Linked DNA regions of Ovis aries. The protein of the gene in region 3 purifies or fractionates together with the protein of the main gene of each other region. This does not show direct contact. Links are inferred from orthologs where the notes say so. Each region holds a gene or a part of one and is shown on either strand. Other genes may lie near its edges.

Evidence for each region.
Region 1: the proteins of NUP85 (region 3) and NUP133 purify together in Homo sapiens (affinity purification with mass spectrometry; 5 studies listed by BioGRID and IntAct, with this or other methods). This does not show direct contact. The link is inferred for Ovis aries from reciprocal best matches to the Homo sapiens genes NUP85 and NUP133.
Region 2: the proteins of NUP85 (region 3) and NUP37 purify together in Homo sapiens (affinity purification with western blotting; 4 studies listed by BioGRID and IntAct, with this or other methods). This does not show direct contact. The link is inferred for Ovis aries from reciprocal best matches to the Homo sapiens genes NUP85 and NUP37.

What each region holds. Positions count from the first base shown.
Region 1 is NC_056078.1:1,013,917-1,017,565, forward strand, and holds part of NUP133 (nuclear pore complex protein Nup133), read right to left. Parts: intron 3,474-3,649; coding exon 3,339-3,473; intron 2,733-3,338; coding exon 2,562-2,732; intron 865-2,561; coding exon 709-864; intron 434-708; coding exon 363-433; intron 1-362. UniProt on the Homo sapiens protein: Involved in poly(A)+ RNA transport. Involved in nephrogenesis.
Region 2 is NC_056056.1:171,523,380-171,527,532, forward strand, and holds the start of NUP37 (nucleoporin Nup37), read right to left. Parts: upstream 2,880-4,153; 5' UTR 2,809-2,879; intron 1,600-2,808; 5' UTR 1,540-1,599; coding exon 1,384-1,539; intron 1-1,383. UniProt on the Homo sapiens protein: Component of the Nup107-160 subcomplex of the nuclear pore complex (NPC). The Nup107-160 subcomplex is required for the assembly of a functional NPC.
Region 3 is NC_056064.1:55,591,454-55,595,102, forward strand, and holds part of NUP85 (nuclear pore complex protein Nup85), read right to left. Parts: intron 3,016-3,649; coding exon 2,881-3,015; intron 2,788-2,880; coding exon 2,665-2,787; intron 2,464-2,664; coding exon 2,332-2,463; intron 2,092-2,331; coding exon 1,985-2,091; intron 1-1,984. UniProt on the Homo sapiens protein: Essential component of the nuclear pore complex (NPC) that seems to be required for NPC assembly and maintenance. As part of the NPC Nup107-160 subcomplex plays a role in RNA export and in tethering NUP96/Nup98 and NUP153 to the nucleus.

The DNA.
Region 1 (3,649 bases), on a different chromosome or scaffold from region 3:
AAAAAAAGGACTGGAGAAGAGCCCCCAGAACCTCCACTGAGTCAGCAGAGACGACAGCATGGAACACAACCAGCAGCAGGGCAGGCAGCTCTCAGGAGCTCCAGCTATTCGAGCAGAACAGATGATCCCTAACAAGGGCAGACAGCTAATGGGACACTCAGTGGAAGGCCGAAAACTGCCAACACTTCTGAAACGAATTAGCACTGCCAGACAGAACAAAGCGATTCAATAAGGCGGAATAATATAAGATTAGGGTTAGACACATCAGAACAGACAGCAAGGGTGCTTATTATTCTATAACAAACACCAATCTGTTTTTCCAAACAACTACCTATGCTCTGCATGACAAATGAGTTGCTTACCAGTTTTGCTTCAAATCCAAATACCGAATGTTGACCCCTTCTTTAATAGCTTCATAGTTACTTTCAGATCCCTACATGAAAATATCAACAATGTAAGCTCCTTCAGTATAGAAATCATTTCTTTTCACCTTTATATCCCCAGCACCTACTAAACTGCCTCATCCACAGTAAGTCAAACTTATTGAATGAATAATGTATGCATTTAAAAAATTAAGTAAACCAGTGAGTCCCAATACTTCTAAAGATTGAATACTCTGCTTATCTGATGACTGAAATGCGTTCTACTAAAAGAACTAGCAATTTTATATAAATAAAAATGACAGAGATGAATGTTACTGTTCCTTACCCAGATAGCATCAATAATGTTTTCCTTCAGGACTCTATTTATATCCCAACTATGTGCTTGTTTTTCTGAAGAATCATCTAATTCCCATTTACTGATGTTTGAACTTGTCAGGCTATAAAAGCTCGCTCGCTCTCTATCCCAGAGGACGCTTGAAAGCTGTATGGAGAGGAGAAAAAAAGTTTATAGATTATTAAATTCTAGTGTCAGTGATGATTTTCCTGAAATTAAAAATTCATATATTTTATAGCTATTTGATTAGTAATCCTAGCAGAATTCTTCATTTAGGATTCAGGGGAAGAAGTGATCCTGAAATAGACCTTGAGAGTAAGGAGGATTTTCACAGGCAGAAGGCCCAGGAAGAGCAGAGTAGGGAGGCAGGAAAGTCAGAGGCTCTTTAAAGAACAAAACACAGTCCTGCTAAACTAGAATGTGGATTATAGCTAGGAAAGAAGCAAAACTGAAGCTCACACACAGCATAGTCTTGAATGTCAGTTTGTAAACCAAGTAAGCTAAGGAGATAATATCCATAGCTTGTGAGCACAAGAGATTTGTTACAGGAGAAGGAATCTGGAGGGGTGTGTGTAGTTCCACACGTTTATATCACTTCATCTCCCTTGCTTCTGAAGAACACATCTAACCCAACTTAAAAATTGCGTATATGTGACTGCTGAACTAAAACCCTATTTGTCTCCACTTTTCCTGTCACTATGTCTCAAATCTAGAGAAGCTGGTAAATATTCTGCCCCATAAAGAGAGGGAGACACACATACACACACAACCAGGATTTTATACCTGGGTCTCTGAAAAAGGTGACAGTGCCATTAGAAATAGGTCAAAAGAAAAATGAGTTTTGTAAGTCAATAGGAGAGAAGAGAACACGAGCAATTTTCTTCTAGACATGTTAAAGCTTACGTTCAAAGACCATTTAAGGAAGCAGATAATGACAGCAACCTGAAATCAGAGGGAAGAGCCCCACTTCATAAAGGATGTGGTACTGCAGTACTTAGCAGGGCTAATGCAAAGGGACCTGCTGCATGGCACAGGGAGCTCTGCTCAGTGTTACATGGCAGCCTGGGTGCACGGGGAGTCTGGGGGAGGATGGCTACCCGTGTATGTATGGCTGAGCCCCTTTACTGTCCACCTGAAACTGCCACAGCATTGCTACTCAGCTATACGCCTATAAAATAAAATGTTTCAGAAAAGTCGGGGGCGGGGGAAGGTGCTCTCAGTTCACACACATGTGGGCATGCATCTGTCGCTGAGCAGTTTTGAACTTTGGGCAATTTTGGTAGCCTCACTGAGGCCATTTCCCCATTTATTTAACACAAATGGGACATGAAGCTCTATATATTACGGATCACAATTATTACAGGAGATAACACACACAGGGCTCCTGGCAGAGCAGATGCCCCACTGCTCTGTTAGTGCAGTTAGTTGAAGATGTTAGTTCCCAGCATCTTCACTCACTACTCCAGAGTCTGAGCCACAGCCCAGCAGACATCATCCACACAGACAGCTGGAGGCTCGGGGGTGGAAAGCACACTTTTGGTTACGTCTAGAAAGCAAAACTAATCCTTGAACACATTTATAACTTTACATCATAGTTTTAACTCAAAAAATGAGCTTACCAGATAATCTATAAAACTTAAGAATAATTAATGTTACAGAGGATGCAAGAGGGTTAGTATGAACTCATCTAATCATCATAATAAAAATGCCTCACTGAAAGATCAAAGTTTTCATCTCACATACACCACTGTACATACAGTGGCAACGCTAACTTCATAGGAGACTGCCAACTTACTGATTTCATTAAGAAACAAGCTAGTAAAACAGTCATTTCACCAACTTACAATGAGATCACTACTAGGAGATAAGATTCCCAGAAGAGAAGAAACCTTCCGACCAATTCCTGAGAGCACGCCTTGTCCTTGAGGCAGGACATGCTGATGGATTTTTCCTATACTTTCAGGTATCAGGCGGATTAGTTGGCCCCCCGATGAGGATAAAATAAAACTTCCTCCCTGTGAACAAATGTGAAATTAGTTAAGTATTTAAGACTAAGAAAAGAAAATGAACACAAATCACTTTGATATGCTTCGAGGGAAATTATCTGTACCTCAACATAAATCTAAAGAATAAAAAAAGAACAGTGCTATTTTTAAAAAATAATTTATGAATCCATTCACTTAATACTACACAGAAAAACTTCAGAGCCATTTTTTTAATTACTTTTTTTAAATTCTGATTTTTAAGTTATAGGTTCACATTACATAGGTTCAACAAATTAAGAATCAGATTTTATTTCTTTGGTAAACCAGCAGAATATGCATTAGCAAACCAGTCTTCCTCTAAGAGTTTCTGAATCACTCTCTAAAGATGTTTCTGACAGAAACGAATACCACTGGCTACTATGCTCCACTGACAGGTCAGAGTCCCACGAGAAGGGCTTCCCTCGGCCTAAGTGCTCAAATCCTAGACTCTTACATTCTTTCCTTGCCTCCTTTTTGATCTTCTCCCAGCCCTACCTGTATGATCTGCTCGAAATCACAAATTTTTAGTCAGCCAAACCTGAATTCCAAGCCAAATGACAGTTTCCCAATAAATATAGAAGAATATCCATCGTATACCTGTACTGCTGTTAGGAAACTATAGGTCTTATCACCTCCCAGATCTACGAACGTCTCTGTGTAGGTATCTTCACTCGCAAGGCTTGGCCAATAGCGGATGGATCCTTCTCTGGTGGCAACCATGACAGTAACAGCCTGAAACAAGATCATAACACTCAGCAAACACAAGAAAAGGAGCCCAAAGCGGCGGTCTGACGACACTGACATACAGAAACCAGGGCAATGCATTACTCATGAACAGAAATCAGGGGGAAAATTCTTTTTTTCCATATTTAAAGAATCATCATACAGTAAAACTGACATTTTCTCCT
Region 2 (4,153 bases), on a different chromosome or scaffold from region 3:
GTGCCTGACCAAATCGATGAGTCATATGTATTAAATGTTTCAGACACTATGTAGGAACTCTACACGCTAACTTATGACATTCAGTACAGTTAAGTACAGTTCACTCTTGAAAATCATGATTTTGAACTGTGTTGACTTATATACAGATTTTTTTTCAAAACATATCTACTAGAGGACTATATGATTTGCTGTTGATTGAATCCATGGATGAGGAATCAGGGAACTATAGCTACACCTGGATGTTGACTGCATCCATTGTCCCTTACCTCCACAATGTCCAAGAGTCAAGTGTATAATTGTTCTCATTTTTATAGCAGAGAGGTTAAGTACCTGCTCAAGGTCACCTAGCTATTAAGAGGTAAAGCCGGGCAGGAACAAAAACCCAGGCATTTTGGCTCGAGAGTTCACGGTCTTAATGACTATGCTGAATTGCCTGTTCAATTCATAGAGCTCATACTCTGTATACTCTAGATATATAAAAAGCATGAAAGTGACTAGGAAAGCTGATATCATCACAGCTATAAAATCTCCTGGAAGATCATTTTTAAGCTCTCAATACTACTAGCTTGTTTTTTTTTTTCCTATGTCAAAGTGGAATACAGAAAAGCTGGATTTAGTAATTAACCAGATCTAATTGGTATTTTTCCTGCACATAACAAGGTATAGTTAATCATAACCTTCAATTACTAGAATATTCCATTTCTAATCATAAAGCATAAAGCATACATAGGCCTTATATACGTATATATGTATATAGCCTTGCCCCTGAATAGTGGGGTTTAGGGGAATGACTCCACACAGTTGAAAATCCTGGTTTAACTTGCAGTAAGTCTCCCTGGTGGCTCAGATAGTAAAAAATCTGCCGACAATGCGAGAGATTCAGTTCGATCCCTGGGTCAGGAAGATCTTCTGGAGAAGGGAATGGCAACCTACTCCAGTACCCTTGCCTGGAGAATTCCATGGACAGAGGAAGAGCTTGGCAGGCTATAGTCCATGGTGTTGCAAAGAGTCTGACAGCCCTAAGAGACTAATACTCTCATTTTTCTCCCTGTGGGCAATTCCTCGGCATCTGCAGATTCAACTAACTGTAGATTCTACAGTATCCTAGTATTTACTACTGAAAAAAAAATCCATGTATAAGTGAACTACACAGTTCAAATCTGTGTTGTTTAAGGGTCAACTGTATTCTTCCTTTTCAATACTTATTCAATGTTTGCACAAATATTAGGCATATATTCCTAGGAATGTCTTTCTCAGTAGTTCTTCATCTCATGCTTTCAAAGTTTAGTGAAAATTACCAAAGTTTGTGTAAGTTTTCTTTTCAGTGAAACATCTTCACTGTCACTCAGTGCACTAACCTGAAATGTTCAGGTTCACACTAACCTGAAATGTACAGGTGCCAATGAACACAAAATTATTGCCACCATATGCAATTAGGTTTCCTGAATCCCCACTCTCAAAGGGATTGAATTCTACCACGTGCACATAATCTTCACAATCCACAGTGTAGGCAGCATTTCTTGTGGCATCTTGCTTCATCTTGTATGGCAAAACTTGTGCAGCTGCAAAAACAGCCTTCTATTGGACAAGGTCACAGAACTGTGGATTACAGCACAGAAACAGAAACCATCAAAGTGTTAGGATGTGATGACAGGCAGCTCAAAAAAAAATTATTCAACTACTTTGTGAACGGTACTTGCAGAGAAAGTCACTACAAAATTCTGTCTAGATTATTTTAAGGACAGGGAGTACTTATAGATGGAATTACACTACTAGGAAATATACTCATAAAAAATTAATGATCATTAACATTATGGAGCTGTACCTGCAAGCGCCACCATTAAGTATTTTACTAACATTACCATGCCTGATACTTGCACAAACCTAAGAGGGAGGTACTATGGTCCCCTTTTTACAGATGAAGAAATCGGGACTTCAGATTAACTTGCTTGCCAATCTCATAAGAGGAGCCAGAATGTGAGACTTTCTAAATGTTGGACACCAGTACAAGAAAGAGAAACACAAAAGCCTGTTTTGAAAAAGCTCACAATCCAGGGTTATTTATGATTCAGTGTGAACAATACTATAAAATAAGCAGATACAAAATATACAATCTGGAGGAAGGAATGCCAAAATGGGATACAAAATAGTATTCATAAAACCAGGAACAAAACTTCAGCTAACGTTTCATGGCCTGGTGTGCATTCTGAAAGTAGCATTCCCAGATGAGACATAGATTCTGAAGAGGTCACTTTTTTGTTTTTGTTTTTAATAGGACGGTAGGGGTTGTCCTGAAAACAGCTGGGTTTGATAGCAAACACATCAAATATCTTGTGAGTATCTACTAAGAAATCATATGAGTTCCACCTCGGGAAGTCTATAACCTAGTAACCTTAAGAGTGGGCATCTGGGACTAAACAGTTGTAAAAAGTGACCAACAGGTAAGGCAGCAGTGTGGAAGTGCAAAAGATTCCAGATTAGGAAACTCCGTTTCTAACTGTTCATTAAAGCAGTGTCCAGTCTAATTACAGTCTCAGGGTCTCACTGTACAAAGCGGGCTGGACTTGCCCCTCTAAAATTGCGAAAACAGCGGAGAGAGGGAACAAGAAAAGTCCCCGCATAGCCCTGACACCTCTTCCAGAGCCACGCAAATACCGCGATACCCCGCCACTACCTCCCGGAGCCCGAGGTCGAAAGGAAGAGGGGTGGGGAACGGCCCGAGGAGAGGAGGAACTCCCAGGGATAGATTGAAGGCGCGTGGCGACCGGCAGCCGAGCCATGCCCCTTGGGCTGACGCGCGATACGCACCGGAGGGCGCCTGGAAGCAGATAGAGCCGAGCTGCTGTTCACCTTGGGCTGCTGCGGCGCGCGCCGGCTCTGCTTCCGGGTCAGAGGGCGGGAGCTGCGATTGGCTGGCGGGCCCTCCCGCGAGATTTAAAATGTAAACCTGCGCTCTCTCGAACAGTCACCCTTGTGCAGCCGGCTGGAGTTTTCTTCAGGCGAGTCTGCACCTCCTGGGTTCTCCCCGAGCCAGGTGAGTGTCATCTTTTTCTCTCCCGTCTGCAGGCTTTAAGCTGCGACTTGTGAGGGTTTTTCGGTAACAGTAGAGCGCCATGTGATTGCCTAGAGTAATATTTGTGGAGTGTTTTTGTTTTGGTCTGGGGATATTGAACAGAGTTCTTATGTTCCATTGATGGAGCTGGAAGGTGCTGAGGGATCATCTGCTGACTGGAAGAATAAGGCACAGAGCCCTACTTAGATGAGTTAATTAGGCAGGAAACCAGGATTAGGTAGACTCCACTTTCGCCCTCACCGTTTTACTTCCGCCCAAGGACCTGCATACCATGAGCAGCAACGGTGCCCTTTTTTATTGAGCACCTCCATTTACTGTCTCACTAACGTGTCCTAATTTTATGAACTAGGAGATAATCATTTCCGTTTTACAGATGAAGAAATTTATGCTCATCCGAGGTTTTAAATACTGAAGGACATACAGCCAGTAAATGAGGACCCTAGTATGTCTCTTATCCATCTCATACTGGCTCCCCAGTGACATTTTCCTGCCTTACAATTTTTGCTGCAGTGCAGCTTGGAATCCAAATGCTAAAAACAAGTGTTTAATATCGCTGCTATCTTCTACTACTCTTTGTATGTTGCAGCCTGACGTTCAGAATACTTGTATAATCATTGTCTCCTTGATTTCTGGAAGTATTCTACCTCTTCCTAGGCAGTCAGGGCTTATTCCTTGGGCTCACGCAGCCAGCTAGCTACTGAAAGAGTCAAGGCTAGAGGCTTGGTGAACTCGTGGTACTGCCTGTTTTTGTGCAGCCAGTTCGTGAGCTAAGAATGGATTTTACATGTTTGGTTGGTTGAAAAAAAAAAAAAAGTCCAGCAGAATAATATTTTATAATATGTGAAAATTTTATGATCTTTAAATTTCTGTAAAATTTTGCTAAAGCCGAGCTGTGCTCATTTGTTTATGTATTGTCTGTGGCTAGTTTCACCCACCAAGATGAAGTTTGAATAGTTGTAAGAGACCTTATGTGCTGCATGCCTCAATGTTTACTGTTGGAACCTTCCCGAAAGTGTTCTAACTCCTGAATGAGATGGACTTTTATATGTGCCAGGCGTTGTTCTAAAAACTTATCTTGTA
Region 3 (3,649 bases):
GTGATCTCCCAGGGCCTCCCTGGGATTCCCTCATGGCTCAGATGGTAAAAGAGCCTGCCCACCATGCGGGCGGCGTGAGTTCAATCCCTGCGTCAGGAAGATCCCCTGGAGAAGGAAATGGCAACCCACTCCAGCATTCTTGCCTGGAAAATCCCATGGACTGAGGAGCCTGGAGGCTACATGCAGTCAATAGGATCACAAAGAGCTGGAGATGACTGAGTGACTACACTTTCAGGGTCTCTCTGCTCTGCCTCTGGAGCCCTGTCTGCCCCACAGCCTGGCATGGTTGACATGGCAGCATCAAGTACCCCTATAGAAAGCTTCCTTCTAGCTGAGGAAGGGTTCCCTCATTCTCCCTAAGAGGAGTGAACAGCTGACACCAGACCTGCAGCTCAAGGCTCCCCTACACCACCAGCGCCCCAGCGAGACAGAGGCGCTACTGTCCCCTGGGAAGCGAGCTGGGGCCTAACCACAACAACCCATGAGAAAGCTAGTGCTCAGGAGACCCCAGATCCCACCCTTCCTCGTCCAAGAGGGCACTCTCTCTCTGAGGATACTTCAGCCCTTCTTTCAATTAATGGGCAGAGGTCTGGGACCTGCTTTTCAGAGTACGGCAGGAAGAAGCTTACTGATCAGGAAAACCCGAGCTCCTAGATTCCGAGCTAGTGGAAATACCTCGATTTTTTTCCTGCCTGCCAGGGTAGACGGACACCCAGACTGAGGGGCTGCAAGTCTGATCATTCCTCCTTCAAGACTGGCAGGGGTGATGCATTTTTCAGCGGCGTTCATTAGCACCACGCCTCTTTGTTACACTTCTTTACCTTTTCCTTCTACAACCACTGAAAACAGCAAGGTGCTTTACCTTTTTTATTGTCCTTCCTTCCTCTTTAGCTCAAATCTGTCTTGATCCTAAAATCCCAGATGTGGCTTATGAAGGAAGCCCTCGAAGAAATAACCCACTGCCTGTAACAGACAACACATTCTGGAATGCCTATTGCTTTGAATTAGAGACAGAGATACTGACAAAGCTAAAGACTAGTGTCTGTGCCTCTGGGAGCCATCCCCACTGATCCTTCACTGCAGATACAACCCCTTGCCAAAATCAGCTGAATTCTGTTAAGTTATCTTCCAGTTCCAACCAGTCCCTATTTTAGAGGTTTGTGAAAAGAATATGGACACAAACCTTCCTTTCTCCAAGTCTAACACCATTTTCTGAATGGTGGGCCTTGGCTTTCTTTTAGCCAAACAGAAGAGCAGGTAGCATGGGTGGGGTGGGGGTGGGGGGTGGAATCGGGGAGACCTTCCCACTGCCCAGATTCACTAACAAAGAAAAGATCCAGTGTGGAGGTCAGTGAATTCAATGCCTGAGCAGGGCCACCTGCCCCAGTGGTTCCCAGCCTTCTCCCTCTGCACGAAGAGGGAGGGGAAGTTCTCTCTGACCGACTACATGTGGGGATTCTGGAAAGCTTTGCTTTGGATTCATTGTTTCACGCTCCCTTTCCTGCCTTGCTGAAGGTCTGGGGAGAGATCTGGGGAGAGGGCTGGTGTAGAGTCTCTGCTCTGAACAGACCCAGCCCCGTGTGGTGGCGTGGTAGCTCCTGGCTCACCAGAGAAGTGCTGTCCTGTAAGGTAGCTGCATGTCCATCAGGTTCCAAGAAACAAGCTGGCTGGCTATTTCTGGATTTTAAATACCATAGTAATTTCTTGCAATATTACTTTAAGTAAACATCCCTAAAGTGTAAACTGTTAAAGATACAGGAGCCTGCAAGCCTCAGGAAGGCCCCCAGGCTTGTCCAGAGAAGACACTGTCTACCTAATGTGGCGGGGGGTGCGGGTCTGTGGGAAGAAGCCTAAGACACCAACAGGAAGGAGCAGGACGCTCTGGAAAAGGACGGCGGTGATGGGCGTGTGACATGGTGAATGCACCAGCCGCTGCACTGCAGCCCTGAGGCGCCCAGCATGGTGGTGGTGCAGCGGGTCCTACCTGCACTCCTTGATCACTTGGTGGATGTCAAACTCGAACGCTGCCATCAAGATGTTGTCCAGGGGCTCTGGGCTGCTCTCACCTCCCAGAAACAGGTCAAGGCTGGACTGTGGAAAGGTGGTGACCCATTCAGTCCCTGGATGGTGGCAGAGACTCAAGGGGGCAGGCAGGGCTGCTGTGTAGGGGACCCGGGAGAAGGGCAATGGGGTCCTTCAAACTGGGCCCAAGGAAAGCCCCCTCTGTTCCCCAGGGAGGGTCAAGTCAACAAGGCCACACGGTGAAAGTGACTGGCAGGGAGTGGAGCCCCGGACGCCGACTCCCCTCCCCTCCTGGAGGAGCTGACGCACCTGAGCGTAGAGGTGCAGATCCATGGGCTTGACCGTAGGCTGAGAGTACAGCAGCCGGGTCACCAGGAAGTGATACCAGTTACTCAGAAGCTCCTTCTGCTCCAGCAGGGCGGCATCATCTCCCAGCAGGACCTGAGAAGAGACGCTGTCCCTTAACTCTGGGGACACTTCCCTGTAAGGCTCATCTCAGCTGGAGCAGCTGAGTTAAAAGCTCACTCCTTCCCAACAGGGCCCACACAGAGCCCCGTCTGAGGAGGAGCTGCTGCTGAGCTGGATGCCAGGACTCCAGGAGGAGCTGGCTTGGCCCCTGGCCAGGACCCGCTCCCAGCAGACCTTGCAGAGGGACTCGAGGTGGGGGTTGGAGGCGAACGTGCCGTCCTGGAGGTGCCGCTCGCATTCCTCGTGCCAGTGCTGCCACCTCAGCTCCAGCTCCGTCAGGGTCTGCGTGTTCCCAGGCTGTGGGAGAGACGCAGACAGGGGCGGTCACCACGGCAGCCCCTCACGCTCCCTGTATAAACCTCTCTCTGCGACCCAGGCGGCTCCACATACGCTGAGAACGGGCATGGTCCTCATCAGGTCCCCCAGGACTCGGCACATGCCTGCAGAGGTGGGGTTGGTGTCGGCTTCCTTGGAGAGCATCTGTCGGGCCTCGTCCAGCCGGCCCTGTAGCACCAAGGTGGTCACCTGGGAGGACACCAAGAACACAGCATCCAGGCGGAGGCTCAGCAGCCAGTCCCCTCAGCCTGCTTTGGCTTCCTCATCCTGGAGAAGTGTGATGGTTTCTCCGTCAGAGGTAATTTAATTCATCCAACCTTCTAGTTTCAACCCGTACCATGCTTTTCAAACTGCGTGTTGTTGTATCGCACTGCAGGTGACTGACTTTTTAAAAATGAAACAGAAAATAAAAATTACCAAAGTGCATCAAATAAAGCACTGATCTGTAAAAGTTTCAGTTAAAAGAAAAAGTTCTAGTTCAAATACTGGGTTAGCCAAATTTGGTTCAGGTTTTTGCATGCTATTTTATGGCCTGGGTTCAATTCCTGGTTGGGGAACTAAGATCCTGCTAGCCACGGCAAAAGAAAAGGAAGAAGAAGCAAGCCAAGGAAACACATGCTGCCCAGTCCCAGTCCCTTTCCCTGATTCCAAACACGCACATCCTGTTGCCAATGGCTCCACTTGGTTCACAGGCACCTTAACATGCCTCGAAATGAACACCGGGTCGCTTCCAACCCACCAACCCACATTCTTCTCTTTCTTACACATCCAATTCATTAGCGAATCCTATCACTGTACCTTTAAACTGCATCCAGAATCAAAT